2 linked regions of the Macaca mulatta genome follow. The protein of the gene in region 2 interacts with the protein of the main gene of each other region in a biochemical or structural test. Links are inferred from orthologs where the notes say so. Each region holds a gene or a part of one and is shown on either strand. Other genes may lie near its edges. The genes, in order: MINK1 and LATS1.

The links.
Region 1: of the proteins of LATS1 (region 2) and MINK1, one has a biochemical effect on the other in vitro, tested with the Homo sapiens proteins (2 studies listed by BioGRID). The link is inferred for Macaca mulatta from reciprocal best matches to the Homo sapiens genes LATS1 and MINK1.

What each region holds. Positions count from the first base shown.
Region 1 is NC_133421.1:6,427,773-6,437,120, forward strand, and holds part of MINK1 (misshapen-like kinase 1), read left to right. Parts: intron 1-464; coding exon 465-534; intron 535-933; coding exon 934-1,144; intron 1,145-3,332; coding exon 3,333-3,449; intron 3,450-3,911; coding exon 3,912-3,998; intron 3,999-4,205; coding exon 4,206-4,424; intron 4,425-4,639; coding exon 4,640-4,813; intron 4,814-5,134; coding exon 5,135-5,395; intron 5,396-5,821; coding exon 5,822-5,907; intron 5,908-6,070; coding exon 6,071-6,181; intron 6,182-6,323; coding exon 6,324-6,436; intron 6,437-6,670; coding exon 6,671-6,759; intron 6,760-6,963; coding exon 6,964-6,987; intron 6,988-7,111; coding exon 7,112-7,275; intron 7,276-7,666; coding exon 7,667-7,772; intron 7,773-7,852; coding exon 7,853-7,990; intron 7,991-8,202; coding exon 8,203-8,311; intron 8,312-8,738; coding exon 8,739-8,906; intron 8,907-9,013; coding exon 9,014-9,157; intron 9,158-9,348. UniProt on the Homo sapiens protein: Serine/threonine kinase which acts as a negative regulator of Ras-related Rap2-mediated signal transduction to control neuronal structure and AMPA receptor trafficking.
Region 2 is NC_133409.1:68,168,752-68,177,756, forward strand, and holds part of LATS1 (serine/threonine-protein kinase LATS1), read right to left. Parts: intron 3,874-9,005; coding exon 3,364-3,873; 3' UTR 1-3,363. UniProt on the Homo sapiens protein: Negative regulator of YAP1 in the Hippo signaling pathway that plays a pivotal role in organ size control and tumor suppression by restricting proliferation and promoting apoptosis.

The sequences.
Region 1 (9,348 bases), on a different chromosome or scaffold from region 2:
CAGGTACTAGGGGACACTCCAGCCTGGCTCCTCTCTGCCAGCCCTGCTCACTCCTGGCTTCCCTTCCTGCTCCCCTCCTTGGCCCCAGCTCTCCCTGTCCAAGGAGATCGTTCTCAAACTTGCAACAGCCGAGGGGTTTTCCCTCCTTTCCCTCCCAATCTGGGTCAGCCCTCCAGAGGAGGACCGGCCTTTCACATCCTTATGAAAACTCCATGCTAAGCACATACGTGTGCGAGCCCAGGCACAGGCTCTGCCACACCTCAGCTGCCCAGGGACCCAGTCCTGGTCCCTGTCCGGGCCCACACCTGAGACACACTGTCCTCCCATTGCTCCCAGGAAGTGGGTGGGGCCCCTCATGCGTGCCCACCCAGACAGACCTTCTGGTTATGCCCACCCGAGGTTTCCCTAGCCCACGGCGGGGTCTGGGGTACTGGGTGAGTTAACAGCAGTGGTCTCCCCTGCAGAGGAGACAGAATATGAGTACAGCGGCAGCGAGGAGGAAGACGACAGCCATGGAGAGGAAGGAGAGCCAAGGTAGGCCTGGCAGGCGGAGCGGGGGTTGGGGGGTCATCACTGAGTGGGGGGACTACAGTGGTGCTTGGCTTTGGAGATGCTCGGCCTGGGGGTGATGGGCACAGAGAGGTAGAGACTCCTAGAAACCAAATTCCTGAGTGCTAAGAAGTGGAACAAATGAGTGAGCAAGAGCTGGGGAGAGAGCAATTCAGGGTGAAGGTGGGGCGCAGCAGTAATAGGAAAGGAGGATAGGGCTGAAGACCGGGCAGCAGGGGACAGTGAGTCTCCTGGCCACCTGGGAGTGGCCAGAGGCAGAGGCTTTGATCCAGTTAAAGCACCCGCTCAGGCGGGCCCACGGGGTTGAGAGTGGGAACCAACAGGGTTCTGACCCCAGCTCTTCTTTGTGCCACCCCTGCCCAGCTCCATCATGAACGTGCCTGGAGAGTCGACTCTACGCCGGGAATTTCTCCGCCTCCAGCAGGAAAATAAGAGCAACTCAGAGGCTTTAAAACAGCAGCAGCAGCTGCAGCAGCAGCAGCAGCGAGACCCCGAGGCACACATCAAACACCTGCTGCACCAGCGGCAGAGGCGCATAGAGGAGCAGAAGGAGGAGCGGCGCCGCGTGGAGGAGGTGGGCTGTCTGCCAAGGGCCCAGGCCTGGCGCGGCCTCCTGCTGACCTTCCCAGGGTCCATTAGGGCCTCAGGGAGAACAGGTTTTAAAATGCCTTAAATGGGGCCGAGCGCGGTGGCTCACGCCTGTAATCCCGGCACTTTGGGAGGCCGAGGCGTGCGGATGATGAGGTCAGGAGATCGAGACCATCCTGGCTAACACAGTGAAACCCCATCTCAACTAAAAATACAAAAAATTAGCCGGGCGTGGTGGCGGGCGCCTGTAGTCCCAGCTACTGGGGAGGCTGAGGCAGGAGAATGGCGTGAACCCGGGAGGCGGAGCTTGCAGTGAGCTGAGATCCAGCCACTGCACTCCAGCCTGGGCGACAGAGTGAGACTCTGCCTCAGAATTAAAATAAAATAAAATGCCTTAAATCAATGGCATTTCTGTTGAAACAGTTACATGATTTCAAATTTCATGATTAGCTGGACTTAACAAAAAATGTGTCTAAATAATAGGCAATAGACCAGATGCGGTAGCTCACTTTCGGAGGCTGAGGTGGGTGGATCACCTGAGGTCAGGAGTTTTTGAGACCAGTCTGGCCAACATGGTGAAACCCCATCTCTACTAATAATACAAAAATCAGCCGGGTGTGGTGGCACGTGCCTGTAATCCCAGCTACTTGGGAGGCTGAGACAGGAGATTCACTTGAACCCGGGAGGCAGAGGTGAGCAGAGATCACACCACTGCACTCCAGCCTGGGTGACAGAGTGAGACTCCATCTCCAATACTACTACTAATAGTAATAACCCGGCCGGGCGCGGTGGCTCAAGCCTGTAATCCCAGCACTTTGGGAGGCCGAGACGGGCGGATCACAAGGTCAGGAGATCGAGACCATCCTGGCTAACACGGTGAAACCCCGTCTCTACTAAAAAATGCAAAAACCTAGCTGGGCGAGATGGCGGGCGCCTGTAGTCCCAGCTACTCGTGAGGCTGAGGCAGGAGAATGGCGTGAACCCGGGAGGCGGAGCTTGCAGTGAGCTGAGATCCGGCCACTGCACTCCAGTCTGGGCGACAAAGCGAGACTCTGTCTCAACAACAACAAAAATAATAATAATAACCCGCAGCATCCACACTGTCCACCTGCTACCCCCAAAGCAGGCCCTCTCATTGTTGAACAAAAAATAATTTGCAAGAAAACCTGCTACAGAAGAGCCTTGTGCAGTTTTGAAAATATAGGCCGGGCGCGATGGCTCACGCCTGTAATCCCAGCACTTTGGGAGGCCAAGGCGGGTGGATCATGAGGTCAGGAGTTCAAGACCAGCCTGTCTAATATGGTGAAACCCCATCTCTACTAAAAATACAAAAAATTAGCCGGATGTGGGTGGTGCACACGCCTGTAGTCCCAGCTACTCGGGAGGCTGAGGCAGGAAAATCACTTGAACCCGGGAGGCGGAGGTTGGTGTGAGCCAAGATCATGCCACTGCACTCCAGCCTAGGGAACAGAGCAAGACTCTGTCTCAAAAATAAATAAATAAATAAATAAAATAAATAAATATAGCGTTCAGATAGCATAGTGACAAAGTCCTATCTAACGGCGTGGAGAAGGCGTGCCAGCAACTTCATTGCAGGAATAGGCACAAGTTCCCTCAAGTGTAAGGGCCCCTTAGGGCTTGCGCTTTTGTTGTTGTAGGCGGTGGTGGCGGTGGTGGTTGTGGTAGACTTTGTGATCGGAAATACCGTGAAAGTCAAGTACCACCTGGGCATCGGGGCTTGCCAAGGAGCGGGCCAGGTCCCTTTTCTGTGCTTTCTGTGCACGGGCACCTGGTGCCCTCTTGTGGCCAAAGTCTATCGCTACGACCCGCTCTGTATGGACTTCAGGCAAAGGTCGGTTTTAGGCTAGGAGTGCTGGGGATGCTTGTTTTGAGTTCGGGTTTTGTTTGTTGTTTGGTGGGGTGTGGGTAGGGGAAGGTGTTGTCTAGCTAAGCACACCCCACAGGCAGCGGTCAGTCTCACAGCCTCTCTCATCACAGCTACTGGCTGTTTTCCCGAGCCCAGCCCCGCGGGCCCTTGGGTGGGGATGGGTATAGTTACAGAAACAAGCGCAAGCCTCCGTGGTGAGCAAGGAGAGCTCCCTCCCTGTCCATGGAGGGACAGTGGTGCCGCGGTGTCCGGTATGGTCCTTAAGACCACCTGGCTCTCCCCATAGCAACAGCGGCGGGAGCGGGAGCAGCGGAAGCTGCAGGAGAAGGAGCAGCAGCGGCGGCTGGAGGACATGCAGGTTCTGCGGCGGGAGGAGGAGCGGCGGCAGGCGGAGCGCGAGCAGGTAGAGCGCCGCACCCACATCCCTGCCCTCCCGCCCTCCCGCTCCTGCTGCCTGCCGCCCCTGCTCCCCGTGCCCTTCCCCCTTCTCTCCCCCCCACCCAGATTCCTCCTATCTTTTCTAGCTTCACTCTTTCTCTCTGTTTTCTCCCACCCTTCAACCCCAACCCTGGCCCCCTCCCTCCTCCTTCCCTGCCTCATTCCCATCTCTGTACCCCATCCCTGATTCTCCCTGGCCCCTTCCTCATCCCCCTCATTCCCTGTGCCCTCTTCTTCCCCATCTGTGCCGCGTGGCCCCCCGGGGCTCATGCCATCCCCTCCCCTACCTCTCTCTTACTTTTCCCCTGCACCCCCTCATCCTCCTCCTGCGGATCCCTTCCTCCTTCTCCAACTCGCTGCTGCTGCCCTCCTCTGCCTCTTCCTCCTTCCCTGCCCTCTGCCCCCCACCCTACACCCCGCCCCCCAGGAATATATTCGTCACAGGCTAGAGGAGGAGCAGCGACAGCTCGAGATCCTTCAGCAACAGCTGCTCCAGGAACAGGCCCTGCTGCTGGTAACGGGTCCCTCAGCGTCCTCTGGGAAGATGCTTTTCAGAGCTTCTTTGCTGGAACGGGATGGGAACACTTCAAGGGAAGGGATTCACCCAAGACATCAAGGGAATACATCTCCTCTCTAGGCAGTTGGAGAAAAGAGAGGGCATGCCTGCTCTGACTCCCAGGCCACACTCTGCTGAGCCCTCTCTCCCTACCCTTGGGCCCAGGAATACAAGCGGAAGCAGCTGGAGGAGCAGCGGCAGTCAGAGCGTCTCCAGAGGCAGCTGCAGCAGGAGCATGCCTACCTCAAGTCCCTGCAGCAGCAGCAACAGCAGCAGCAGCTTCAGAAACAGCAGCAGCAGCAGCTCCTGCCCGGGGACAGGAAGCCCCTGTACCATTATGGTCGGGGCATGAATCCCGCTGACAAACCAGCCTGGGCCCGAGAGGTACTCACTGCCTCCTTTGCCTCCTGAGACTGCAGTCCCACTGCCTGAGGCCTGGAGAGCCACAAGAAGTGGTTGTTCACAGGAACAGGCACCGAGCAGGGGAAAGGAGCACACAGCACACAGCATAGGACAGGAGTGGTGAGGGCGGGCGGGGCCCTCAGTTTTGAGAACAGGGAGGCAAGAGCTGGCCTGCTTGACATCCCTTCACATCACAGGTAGAAGAGAGAACAAGGATGAACAAGCAGCAGAACTCTCCCTTGGCCAAGAGCAAGCCAAGCAGCACGGGGCCTGAGCCCTCCATCCCCCAGGCCTCCCCCGGGCCTGCAGGACCCCTTTCCCAGACTCCTCCTATGCAGAGGCCGGTGGAGCCCCAGGAGGGACCGCACAAGGTGAGTCTCTCCCCACTCCTGTCTTACTGCAGACACAGGGAGCTTTGCTCAGAGCCCAGGTGCACACACACACACACACGCACACACACACCTGCTCAGCCCTGAGCCAGGATTCCAGAGCACAGGCTATGTGGACAGACACACTCACCTGCTTCTTGCTGCCTATGTCTGTCCTGACTTAGCTGTCCTCAGGCTCAAGGAACCCCTTGTCCTTCAATGGAGGAAGGGGCAACTAAAGTCCCTTCCCACCTCAGACCCCGATTTGCAGGTGGGGACCTGCCATGGAGCAGGCAGCCCACCCTCCCTGGTCTCTCCCTGCAGAGCCTGGTGGCACACCGGGTCCCACTGAAGCCATATGCAGCACCTGTGCCCCGATCCCAGTCCCTGCAGGACCAGCCCACCCGAAACCTGGCTGCCTTCCCAGCCTCCCATGACCCCGACCCTGCCATCCCTGCACCCACTGCCACGCCCAGTGCCCGAGGAGCTGTCATCCGCCAGAATTCAGACCCCACCTCTGAAGGACCTGGCCCCAGCCCGAACCCCCCAGCCTGGGTCCGCCCAGATAACGAGGCCCCACCCAAGGTAAGGACAGCCTGTGGGCCCAGGGAAAAGCAAGGAACTAGTCATGAGGAGAAGGAGGGCAGTGAAGGGGCCGCATGGGGAAGAGTGCAGGGCGGGAAGCCAGAGAAAGCTAGGGCGCTGCCCAGCAGGGCTCAGCCGTCCAGCTGAGGAGGCAACGTGGAGGTGTGGCATTGATGCCCCTGGGGAGCGTGGGAACGGAGAAACGCCCAGGGTGTTTCGGGGCCGCTAAGGGGCAGACTTTGTGAGTTAGAACCGCAGCTCCAACCATCTCCCAGCTTCATAACCTTGGACGTATTCACTAACTTCCCTGAACCTCAGTTTTCTCATCCATCAAAGTGAGGAGCTCACCTCTCAGAGGTGAGGCTCAAACATCTCTGAAGTGCCCGTCGCAGCGCCAGCTCGCAGCACGTGGACTTCTCTCCACAGGTGCCTCAGAGGACCTCATCTATCGCCACTGCCCTTAACACCAGTGGGGCCGGAGGATCCCGGCCAGCCCAGGCAGTCCGTGCCAGGTAATGCCTGGGTAGGGCAATGCCTGGGTGAGGTCTGAGGACAGCCTAGGGAGTAGGGGGGCACAGGGACTTTACCAGCCTACCCACCTAGGGGTGGGCAAGCCCCAGCCCCATCACCTCAGCGCCCCCCCGCCCCCTCGGCACCCCTGTGCTCCCTTCACAGACCTCGCAGCAACTCCGCCTGGCAAATCTATCTGCAAAGGCGGGCAGAGCGGGGCACCCCAAAGCCTCCAGGGCCCCCTGCTCAGCCCCCTGGCCCGCCCAACGCCTCTAGGTAATGGAGTCGTACCCCGACTCACTCCCACCTCTCACTTCTGCCACCTGCTTCCCTGGTGATGGCTCCCTCTGCAGTGCAGCTCAGCACCCCAGAGAGGGGAGCACCCTGCCTCCCTGACCCTGACTCTGCCCCCCAACAGTAACCCCGACCTCAGGAGGAGCGACCCTGGCTGGGAACGCTCGGACAGTGTCCTCCCGGCCTCGCACGGGCACCTCCCCCAGGCCGGCTCACTGGAGCGGAACCGCGTGGGAGGTACGTGAGCCAGGGCTGGGCAGCCTGCTCTGGGCCTGGAGTCTTATCAGGATGGACCCTGCCTTTGGTGGCTTTGGACTGGGACACCCACAGGGACAGGGAGGACCTGCGTGGGTATGGAACTCGGGGCTGAGTTCTGGGGCTCAGGGGCAAGGGGTCAGCCCAGGTGTGGGCTTGAGGCCATCCCTTGTCCAGGCATCAGTGACCTTTCTTCTTCCACCCTGCCATGTCCAGCCTCCTCCAAACTGGACAGCTCCCCAGTGCTCTCTCCTGGGAATAAAGCCAAGCCCGATGACCACCGCTCGCGGCCAGGCCGGCCCGCAGTGAGTCGCCTGGTGGCCGGCACCGCCTGCCTCATCCTGGTTTGGGGCTTAGCCCCAGGGAGCTGGGTGCCAGGGGGGGTCTCCGCGGATCTACTGGGAAGGGCTGTGGGGATGGAGGGACTGGTGCTTCTCATGCTACTAACCTTTTCTAACCTCTTTCCTAACATCTCTCCTGGCTCGCTCTTCCCCTGCGGCCCCTCCCAGAGCTATAAGCGAGCAATTGGTGAGGTTAGTGAGATGGGCCTGCTTGTGGGGGCCCCTCCTGTCACCTTGCTGGGGTGTCCCAGCACCCTTTGTCTGCCTCCACCCAGGCCCACCTTCTCCCTGCCCCTCACGTGGCTCCTCCCCGCAGGACTTCGTGTTGCTGAAAGAGCGGACCCTGGACGAGGCCCCTCGGCCTCCCAAGAAGGCCATGGACTACTCATCGTCCAGCGAGGAGGTGGAGAGCAGTGAGGATGACGAGGAGGAAGGCGAAGGCGGGCCATCAGAGGGGAGCAGAGACACCCCTGGGGGCCGGTACGGCATCGGGAGTGGGGCCCTCCCACTCCAAGGCACAAGGAGGGAGGGGAAGTGGCAGTGGAGGGAGAGGTAGGGCTTTGGGGCAAGTCTGAGGGAGAACAGCGCCCTTCTCTAGAGAGTGGGGTGAGGGTGCAGGTTCCTGTCTCTCTCCTGCTGTCCTGTGTGTTGTGGGGTGGCCTCTCCAAGTGCCTGTCTGCTCCTGTGCCAGCCTGCCCTGTGTGCCATGCAGGGAAGCACCTCACGGTGGAACAGGGACTACCCCGTGAGGGTGGAGCAGGTTGTGTTTTGAATAGAGACAAAAGCCTGGGCTCTGGCTTCCATCTGCTGCCTTTGGCACTTCTGTGGCCACGGGCAGGACCTGGAGAGGCCCCACCTTCCTCTCTCACAGCAGCGATGGGGATACAGACAGCGTCAGCACCATGGTGGTCCACGACGTCGAGGAGATCACCGGGACCCAGCCCCCATACGGGGGCGGCACCATGGTGGTCCAGCGTGTGAGTGAGCCTCCGCTGCCTCCCCTGTAGCTGTGTGTGCCCTCCTCAGCCCCGTGCCGACCCTGCCCTCTGTCCTGTAGACCCCTGAAGAGGAGCGGAACCTGCTGCATGCTGACAGCAACGGGTATACAAACCTGCCTGACGTGGTGCAGCCCAGCCACTCACCCACCGAGAACAGCAAAGGCCAAAGCCCGCCCTCGAAGGATGGGAGCAGTGACGTAAGTGGGCCGGAGGCAGGTCCGCTGGGGGAGAAGAGCCCGGGCGGTGGGCAGGAGGTCTGGGTGCTGGGTCATGGCAGAGGATGGGGCGGAGCGCTGGGAGCTGGACAATGGGGGTGCCAGCTGGGGAGCTGGAGCCTGGGAACAGCAGCAGGGGCAGGGCCGCAGCTGGACTTGCACTTGTTTGCCTGACTGCTGCCCCCCCACCACAGTACCAGTCTCGTGGGCTGGTAAAGGCCCCTGGCAAGAGCTCGTTCACGATGTTTGTGGATCTAGGGATCTACCAGCCTGGAGGCAGTGGGGACACCATCCCCATCACAGGTGAGGACGGGAGGACAGACCTGCCATCAGGCTGGGGTCCAGGGGCAGCCTGGAGGGGAGCATGATGGTCTTGAGACGCAGCCTCACAAAGCCACAGGACCTCTCCCTTGGGCTCTAGCACCTGCCCGGGCAGAGAGAAGGAAGGGCCTCTGCGACCCCTCCACAGGAGAGAAAATGCTCACAGTAGCCAGGGGACCTGGGCAAAGACTCAAAGCTAGCAAGTGACAGAAATGGGACTTGAGCCAGGCCTTCTGACTCAAAAGGGGGGTCCAGCACTCTATCCCCCTCTCCCGTGCACCCCTTCTCCTCCCGTCTTTTTCCTTTCTGTGTATTATGAGGCGCCAAGACCTGATATAGGGGATGGAGGTAGAAAGAGATGGGGTGAGAAGCTGCAGCCCCTCCTCCCGCCTCCTCCTCCTTCTGGCAGCCCTAGTGGGTGGAGAGGGCACTCGGCTCGACCAGCTGCAGTACGACGTGAGGAAGGGCTCTGTGGTCAACGTGAATCCCACCAACACCCGGGCCCACAGTGAGACCCCTGAGATCCGGAAGTACAAGAAGCGATTCAACTCTGAGATCCTGTGTGCAGCCCTTTGGGGTAAGCCAGGGCAGGGACAGCTGAGGGGGCTGTGGCGTGGCTCCCATGCTCCTGGTTAGGCAAGGGCCTGGCTGAGCCTCTGACCTGCCCAAGGGCTCCTATTGCAGGGGTCAACCTGCTGGTGGGCACGGAGAACGGGCTGATGTTGCTGGACCGAAGTGGGCAGGGCAAGGTGTACGGACTCATTGGGCGGCGACGCTTCCAGCAGATGGACGTGCTGGAGGGGCTCAACCTGCTCATCACCATCTCAGGTACAGGTGCGGCGAGTGGGGGAGGGAGGAGGGGCTCAGCTCCCTGGCGCTGTCACTGTCTTCTGCCCGGGAGGAGGGCAGCCTTGGTCCAGGCACTGGAAGGTGAAGCGGCACTTTCTCACCCCTTGTGGCATGCCGACAGAGGAGGCCGGGGCGGTGGCAGCCGGGCCTCAGATGAGAACGGGGGTGTG
Region 2 (9,005 bases):
CTTTAGTGTTGCCACTGATTCAATTTTAATACAAAATACTTATATACACAATACAATATAAAAGTAAACTGTGTAGTGCCTTCCACAAAAGGATATATTAAGGCGCTTTACAAATATACCAATATTTTGACCCAAATTACTTTTTGCTTTAGATTAAAATGAACAGGCTAAATGTTCCACTTTAAATACCAAAGGGATTTCTGTTTATTAAATTTTTTGATCTAAAATACCTTGGGTAACAGCAGCAGCAATGTCTACAAATCCTCCCACTGTATTCTCTAATTTCTAACATATTAAGTCAGAATAAAACAATTCCACTCACAGTTTTGCACTTTGCAACAGCAGAAAGTAATAACTTTTTAAAAAAGTCAATCTCAAAGTGACTTTTTAGTCATACATTCTATAGTTTCTATTACAAATAAGAAGGTAGAAAAGATACAGCAGTAGGGCCTGCCTTATGATGTCACTGGACAATACATAACAGTATCTACAATTACATAATTATAGAACACATCTTATAAATACTATTGATATGCATAAAAAGGGTAAGTACAATAAAGACAGCAAGTTTTTATGAGAAAATTATTTTAAAAGAAAACATACAGAACCAACGTTTTCACTCCATTTCAATGGAAAGTATCTATATTTTTAACATTGTTTTTCTCATCTTTTTGGTCAGGAAGCACCAGATTCTATACTGGAAGAAGTAGATGTAGTTTTGGAATAAGACAGCTGATAAGTATATCCAAACTGTTAAAATTGCTGATACCAAAGGCATGTATACTGCTTCAGATAAATGCAAAAGGCTTATAGTATCAGAGGAAATTTTAAAAGAATACATATTTGCGCCAGGCGCGGTGGCTCACGTCTGTAATCCCAGCACTCTGGGAGGCTGAGGTGGGCATATAACTGGAGCCCAGGAGTTCCAGACCAACCTGGGCAACATGGCAAAACCCCATCTCTACTAAAGATACAAAAATTAGCTGGGCTTGGTGGCGCATGCCCAGCTACTTGGGAGGCTGAGGTGTGAGGACTGCGTGAGCCTCAAATGTCGAGGATGCAGTGAGCTGTGAAGCGCCACTGCACTCCAGCCTGGGTGACAGAGTGAGACCCTGTCTCAAAACAAAAAACAAAAAAAGAATACAAAATTTGTAGTGTCTGTTACATTTCAGCAATAGGGGGAATACAGATTTTGTGGGAAGGGAAGGGGGAGGAGACAGCACCTTAGATTTCCTACAACATAAATGTAACAAAGTTATTTTCTACTGTATTGCACCTTAGTCCAAAAGTAAAACAACTAAATGAAAATTTAAATAAATCAGATTGAAAAAGCCCAAAGAGCAAGAGGAATACCTTATAAATGTGAGTACTCACCTAAAAATTCTTGAACTACTTTGTTTTGCATAGGATTTTATGGGACTAACCAAATGTTCCATGAACCAAGAGGTGAAGACTGCCATTTCATGAGAGCACATTTTCTTATAATTCCAATTAGAAATCCTTCAGAAATATTTCTGTATCAAGCTTGTAATGAGTCCAACATTTCAGTCCCCTCCAAATGATACATTTAAAACAAATTAATGTACCAGCAAGAGAGGCATTCATAAGGTCACCTTACATCACATGTTACAGACCTTTTCCATCACAAATTATCAGTTTATATAAGATGTGCTGAGTAGTGATTGGTAAGTTAAAAACAAAGTTCTTAGTTTAATATATCAATTTTCTCATGGGACCGAGGTCCATAACCTAGAGCCTGTGATAGGTTTCAATATGTCCAAAATCCCTTGAAACTGCATGCAACATTGTATGTGTTGATTTTTTTTTTTTTCCTGGGAAGAGTCCACAGCTTCCTTCAGATTCTCAAAAGAACCACTAACCCCGAAAGACCCATGATAACATAGTAGTAGGTTTCCAAGCTGAGTTCTGAAAGGACCACCTGTAGAAAGGTAGGAAGTGTGGGCTAGTAAGTGTTCTTTGCCCTGACTCTCCAATTCAACTGCAACAGCTCTGCCTTTAATTTTACTACATATATGGTTTCAATTAGCTTTTATGTGAAGAAAGCTAAAAGTATGAAAATCATTAAAATTATGCCTCCAATCCCCAAATAGTAACTTTTGATAAAAACAATCCCTTATCAATGGAGCTTAAGAAAAGGAAATAAAATACAAATTTTACTATGGTCAAAATAGAGCCTTTTTCCCCTTCCTAAAAGATAAGCTCATGTATTTTGGTATAGAACCTTAATCTTCCTTAGAACCTAAGCATTATACATAATAGTCATGTTGAACACATTATTTAACCTTAAATAAATTAGGAGGACTTGAATTTTCTACTAAGACCACTCTGTAAATTTTTCTAATTATTAATGGCCATCTTAAGAGTTAATTTTTTCACCAATTAATCTGCCCTTAGGTAAAATATTGCCAGATAGCCAGATTTTCCTTTGCCAATAACAATCTGTATATGCAGCACTGTTCTGAAAGAGGAAACAGGTAACATTGATAATATAATCAAAATAGTTACTATACAGGAAAAGTACATGAACATGAAAATAATTCTTTGCTTAGGATGGTGAAAAAAATTTTAGCTTTCAGTACTGAAAATTTTTATTTATGGCAGCTTTGTTCCCTTTTAAAATTGGAAGCAGCATCAAAAATAACAATATGGAAAAAAAGCTAGTAGTGCTTTGGCTTCTTTTAAAGCCAGTAATTCTTGAGAAATAAATGCAAGAAGATTAAATATTCCATGGGGGCGGGGAGATAAATGCATTATCTTTCCTTCTGACAAACATATTAATATTTTTTAACCCTGTATTCCTTAGTTTCAGGATGTGAATTATACAGATTAAGATTAGCCTAGGAACACTCACCAACACGATGGCTTAATTTCTCTAGCTTATTTTGTACCAAAAACAAGGTTATGAGGGGAAAAAAGAGCTCTGTAAATACGGGGTATGTTTCATATTTGGTTAAAGCAAGATAAAACTAAAACTGTCTTTCAAAAAAATTTCAAAAACTCTTGTCTTTTAAAATTATTTAGCATATATACAAATAGATACCAGATTTCTCCTTTTAAACAAAGCACTACTTATTTTAAGTACTTTAAGTACCAAGAACTGACTGTAATATTCAGTTCATAATTTACTTTTCTTATAACAATTTTTTTCTAAATACTGATTTAAACGGCTGGAATAAATTAACATTTTAAAAGGATTTCCCATAATTTAGGAAAATACAATATTGTACACAGAGCACACATATATAGCTCTGTCATATTTGCATAATTTTACTCTCAGAACCTCAAAACACCTCGCATTTCAGGCCCTTTTGCAAATTTTCATTACATTTATTTACTAGTGTGTTAAACATATACTAGATCGCGATTTTTAATCTCTGAGCCTGTGTTTTGATCATCTTCATCCGACTGCTGCTCTGAGCCTTGTGAATTAATGTATTCATATTCAATAGGCTTTGGATAATTATATGGGTAGCCATTGTCATCAAAAAACCTTCGGAAGGTAAATTCATAGAATGCATGTTCAGGATGCTTCCCATTTTTATACCATCCATTGAGAGTGTCATTTACATTTTCTTCCTCGTTATCGTCACTCCATAACTTATCAGGATCAACAGGATCAAAATTTGATGTATCTGTTGGGTGTGTGATTTTAGGAATGTATGAAGCAGATTGCTGTCTCAGGTCACTGGAGAAATCAATTGTTTTAAAAAATGGATGAGCTTTTATTTCATCAGCACCATTCTTGCCTAAGCGATCTTCGGGTCCTCGGCAAAGTTTAATAATAAGATCAGAAGCTTCAGGACTGAGTTTAGCTTGTGGTGGAATGTGAAGAGATGTTTGCCAGTTGATAACCTTTAAAGATTTTTTAAAATTAGGGGGAAGAGATAAATTAGAAAAATAAAAATTTCCTTCAAGTTTTATACCAAAAGTCTCACTGGGCTATTTTTGTATTTTAAATAAATTACATGATATTTTGCTGGAAAATAATTTGTTCTCCTATCCCATCCTCTCCAGGCAACTTCTACTCACATTATAAGACTCAGTGTCAGTTTTAATCTCCCCTAGTAAACCTTTTTGCCTATGGTAGAAATGACTACTTCTACTCTGCCTCCCCTCTACCATATATTTATTTCTATCACATTTTTAATACCTTATGGTACCTATTTATGTTTATGTCCTACTGAAATATAAAATTCCATTAAGGCTAGGGATCATGTTTTAGTGGTCTTTGTATCTCCTAGTGCTCAGTAAATTGCCTGGCACATACTTAATACATTATGATAAAACTTTTTCTGGTGCCAAGCGTGGTGGCTTGTCTGTAATCCCAGCACCCTGGGAGGCAGAGGTGGGAGGACTGCTTGAAGCTGGGAAGGTTCAAGACAAACCTGGGCAACAAAGCGAGACCCCCTCTCTACCAAAAAAAACTTTAAAACTTAGCCAGGTATGGTGGCATGCATCTGTAGTCCTAGCTACTCAGGAGGTTGAAGCAGAAGGATTCCTGGAGCCCAGGAGTTTGAGGCTGCAGTGAGCCATGACTGCACCACTGCACTCCAGCCTGTGTGACACAGTGAGACACTGTCTCAAAAAAAAAAAAAAAAAAAAAAGCTCTGGTTATGAATAAAATAAAATGAGGAAGAAAGGAATGCCAAGTGAAGTCAGACTACCTAGTCTCTCCCGCTGAACTCTTGGAGGCAGGGGAATTGGTATACAACTCCAAGTACGATATTAAATGGATTTGGGGCAAACTCTATTAAGTGGTAGAATTGTCATTTAACCAAGTTAAGATACCTTCAACTTGGGCAGGCACTGTGGCTCACACCTGTAATCCCAGCACTTTGGGAGGCCAAGGTGGGTGAATTGCTTGAGCCCAGAAGTTCAAGACCAGCCTGGGCAACACGGCGAAAGCCTATCTCTACAAAAAATACAAAAGTTAGCCAGGTTGGTGGTGTACATCTGTGGTCCCAGCTACTTGAGAGGCTGAGGTTGGAGGATCAGCTGAGCCCAGGGAGGCTGAGGCCGTAGTGAGCCGTGATTGTGCCACTGCACTCCAGCCTGGGTGACAGAGCAAGACCCTGTCTCAAAAGAGGAAAAAAAAAATCTTCAACTTGTTCCATGGTAGGTAGTCAATAAATATTTGTTAAAAAGTTTTAATAATAATGAATAAATGAACACTATAATCTTACTTATTCATAGAGGAGCTAGTCAGCTACTACAGAGGGAAGAAAATGTACTCCCTCTTCTATTATTTGTTCCTTTTAAAGTCTTACCCCAGATTAGAAAATTGAGATGCTTCAACTAATAATATAATATTTTTAAAACCTTTTTGGAAAAAAAAAAGATACAGTTAATAATAGTTATTTATGCTTCCAGTTCCATCACTTATTTCAAACAGGAGAAATAAAAAAAAAATACAATGAGATGAACAATTCCTTTTTTTTTTAAACAGAGGCTCGCTCTGTTGCCCAGGATGGAGTACAGTGGCGTGATCTCGGCTCACTGCAACCTCTGCCTCCTGGGTTCAAGTGGTTCTCCTGCCTCAGTCTCCTGAGTAGCTGGGATTACAGGTGCCTGCCACCTCACACGGCTAATTTTTTTTTTTTTTTTTTGAGACGGAGTCTCGCTCTGTTGCCCAGGCTAGAGTGCAGTGGCGCGATCTCAGCTCACTGCAAGCTCCGCCTCCTGGGTTCACGCCATTCTCCTGCCTCAGCCTCCTGAGTAGCTGGGACTACAGGCGCCCGCCACCACGCCCGGCTAATTTTTTGTATTTTTTTTAGTAGAGACGGGTCTCACCGTGTTAGCCAGGATGGTCTCGATCTCCCGACCTCGTGATCCGCCCGCCTCGGCCTCCCAAAGTGCTGGGATTACAGGCATGAGCCACCGCGCCCGGCATTTTTTTGTATTTTTAGTAGAGACAGGGTTTCACCATGCTGGCCAGGCTGGTTTCGAACTCCTGACCGCAAGTGATCCATCCACCTTGGCCTCCCAAAGTGCTAGAATTACAGGCGTGAGCCACTGTGCCTGGCCAAGTTTAACATTTTTTATTTTAATGTGTATTTAGGATTTTTTAGTTTAAGGCAAAAAAAAAAAAAAAGACTAAGCACAGCAAAAGATTCAGATAATTCAAAGATGGATGAATAAAATTATATAAACTGAAGCACAGAGAGAAAACATGTAGAATAAAAGAAAGAATAAAGCATAAGAGAAATGGAGGACAATATCAAAGGAATAGCATATGTATAATCATTAGAGTCTCAAAAGGTGAGAAGGAAGCAAAATAAATCTTTGAAGAGATGACAGAGAATTTCCCCAAATCGATGAAAGTCATTAATGTACATTTCAAGAAACTGAGTGAATCTCAACCAAGAAAAATACAAAGAAAACTACACATAGGCACACCATGGTCAAATTGAAGAAAACTAAAGTTAAAGAGAAAAAAATCCTAAAAGCAACCAGAGAGGTCCCAGTTTTGAGGAGGTACTACGTATACTCTCCCGTCTCTCTCCCACAGAAGGCAGCTATAAAACCTGATCAGGATACATGAAGCAGCTACTTCAAGACCCTGAAAAGTAAATAATAACAGGTAGATTTGGGGAGAAGATGTAAATTTGAAGTACCATTAAACCTGGTGACCATTTAAAAAAAATAAGAGACAGGATTCTCACTATGTTGTCCACGCTGGTCTTGAACTCCTAGCCTCAAGCAATCCTCCCACCTCAGCCTCCCGAGTAACTGGGACTACAGGCCTGTGCCAGCACACCCAGCTCCATTTTTTTCACTCTAGTAGTCTGCAGGCTGGACTCAAGGTAGCCCCAAACTTGGAAGGAGCTGAGCACAGACAGAGAGCTAGAGGAGAAGTCCCTCTAGTTCAGGCTCAGGGAGTAGAAAAGGAGTTTCCTGGTAGCAATGGAGGTGACAATAAGAGCCAATATGCCCCTAAAACTGACAGATGAACCCTCCTCTCCAATTGGAAATAAAATAACAAAGCATGGGCTGGGCTCGGTGGTTCACGCCTGTAATCCCAACATTTTGGGAGGCCGAGGTGGGTAGATCACTTGAGATCAGGAGTGCAAGATCAGCTTGGCCAAAACGGTGAAGCCCTGTCTCTACTAAAATACAAAAATTAGTGGGCCGGGCGTGGTGGCTCAAGCCTGCAATCCCAGCACTTTGGGAGGCCGAGACAGGCGGATCACGAGGTCAGGAGATTGAAATCATCCTGGCTAACATGGTGAAATCCCGTCTCTACTAAAAATACAAAAAACTAGCCGGGCGAGGTGGTGGGTGCCTGTAGTCCCAGCTACTCAGGAGGCTGCGGCAGGAGAATGGCGTAAACCCGGGAGGCGGAGCTTGCAGTGAGCTGAGATCGCGCCACTGCACTCCAGGCTGGGTGACAGAGCGAGACTCTGTCTCAAAAAAAAAAAAACATTAGTGGGGTGTGGTGGTGCATACCTGTAATCCCAGCTACTCAGGAGGCTGAGTTAGGATAATCACTTGAACCCAGGAAGCAGAGGTTGCAGTGAGCCAAGATTGTGCCACTGCACTCCAGCCTGGGCGACAGAGTGAGACTCCATCTCATAAATATATAAATAAATAAAATGATAATAAAGCATAGGGTCCCAATAAGATGGGTTGAATCTCTGTTGCTTGTTTTCTCTCTGTGTCCTTTTGCCACCTTGTCCTGGATTCAGGTGCAGTTATGAGATATTGGGTAAGTGAAACCTCACTTTCTGGTCAGAGAACTAAAATAGGGAGCCCCAGGGAACAAGAAGGTACTGGGGACATCACAGAGAGGGAGGAGATTGGGCAAGTGACCCCATTAAGTTGCTTATGAACTGCTGGGCTCCCCCTCCAAACTGTACCTATGTGAATCTAATCCTAAGGAGCGTAACAAAGACTTTGAGAACTGAACTAAGGAAAAGACCATAGCCTACAAAGAGATCTGCCTAGAAAGGAAAAAAGGCTTTGAAACCGACATTGAAATAAAAAAAGCCTGGTTGGAACCTGTGGCCTGAACCCAACCAGGTTTAATGCTTGTCAAAACAAGGTCAAAATTATCCATAAGATCCAGAGTCTCGGCTGGGCCCTGTGGCTCACGCCTGTAATCCCAGCACTTTGGGAGGCCAAGGTAGGCAGATCACCTGAGGTCAGGAGTTCGAGACCAGCCTGGCCAACATAGTGAAACCCCGTCTCTACTAAAAATACAAAAATTAGTCAGGCGTGGTAGCACGTGCCTATAGTCCTAGCTACCTGGGAGGCTGAGGCAGGACAATCGCTTGAACTTAGGTGGTGTAGTGAGCCAAGATCACACCACTGCACTCACTCCAGCCTGGGTGACAGAGCAAGACTCTGTCTCAAAAAAAAAAAAAAAAAAAATCCAGAGTCTCATAATGTGTTATTTAAAATGTCCAGGATACAATCCAAAATTACTTAGTATAAACAAAAAAACAAAAAAAACCAAAAAACCCGGAAAATTTCAACTAACATAGAAAAAGTCAGTCAGTATTGATATGACATAGATGCTAGAATTTTCTGACAAAGACTTGAAAGTAACCATTATAAAAATGTTCCAGGTCAGGCGCGGTGGCTCACGCCTGTAATCCCAGCACTCTGGGAGGCTGAGGCAGGCAGATCACGAGGTCAGGAGATCGAGACCATCCTGGCTAACACGGTGAAACCCTGTCTCTACTAAAAATAAAAAATTAACCAGGTGTGGTGTCTCTACTAAATATAAAAAAAATTAGCCGGGTGTGGTGGCGGGCGCCTGTAGTCCCAGCTACTCAGGAGGCTGAGGCAGGAGAATGGTGTGAACCTGGGAGGCGGAGGTTGCAGTGAGCCGAGATCGCACTACTGCACTCCAGCCTGGGCGACAGAGTGAGACTCCGTCTCAAAAAAAAAAAAAAAAAAAAAAAAAAAAAAGCTCCAAATAAGGATCAACACTCATGAAATGAAAGATAGGTCTCAAGCAAAGAAATTGAAGATATAAAGTA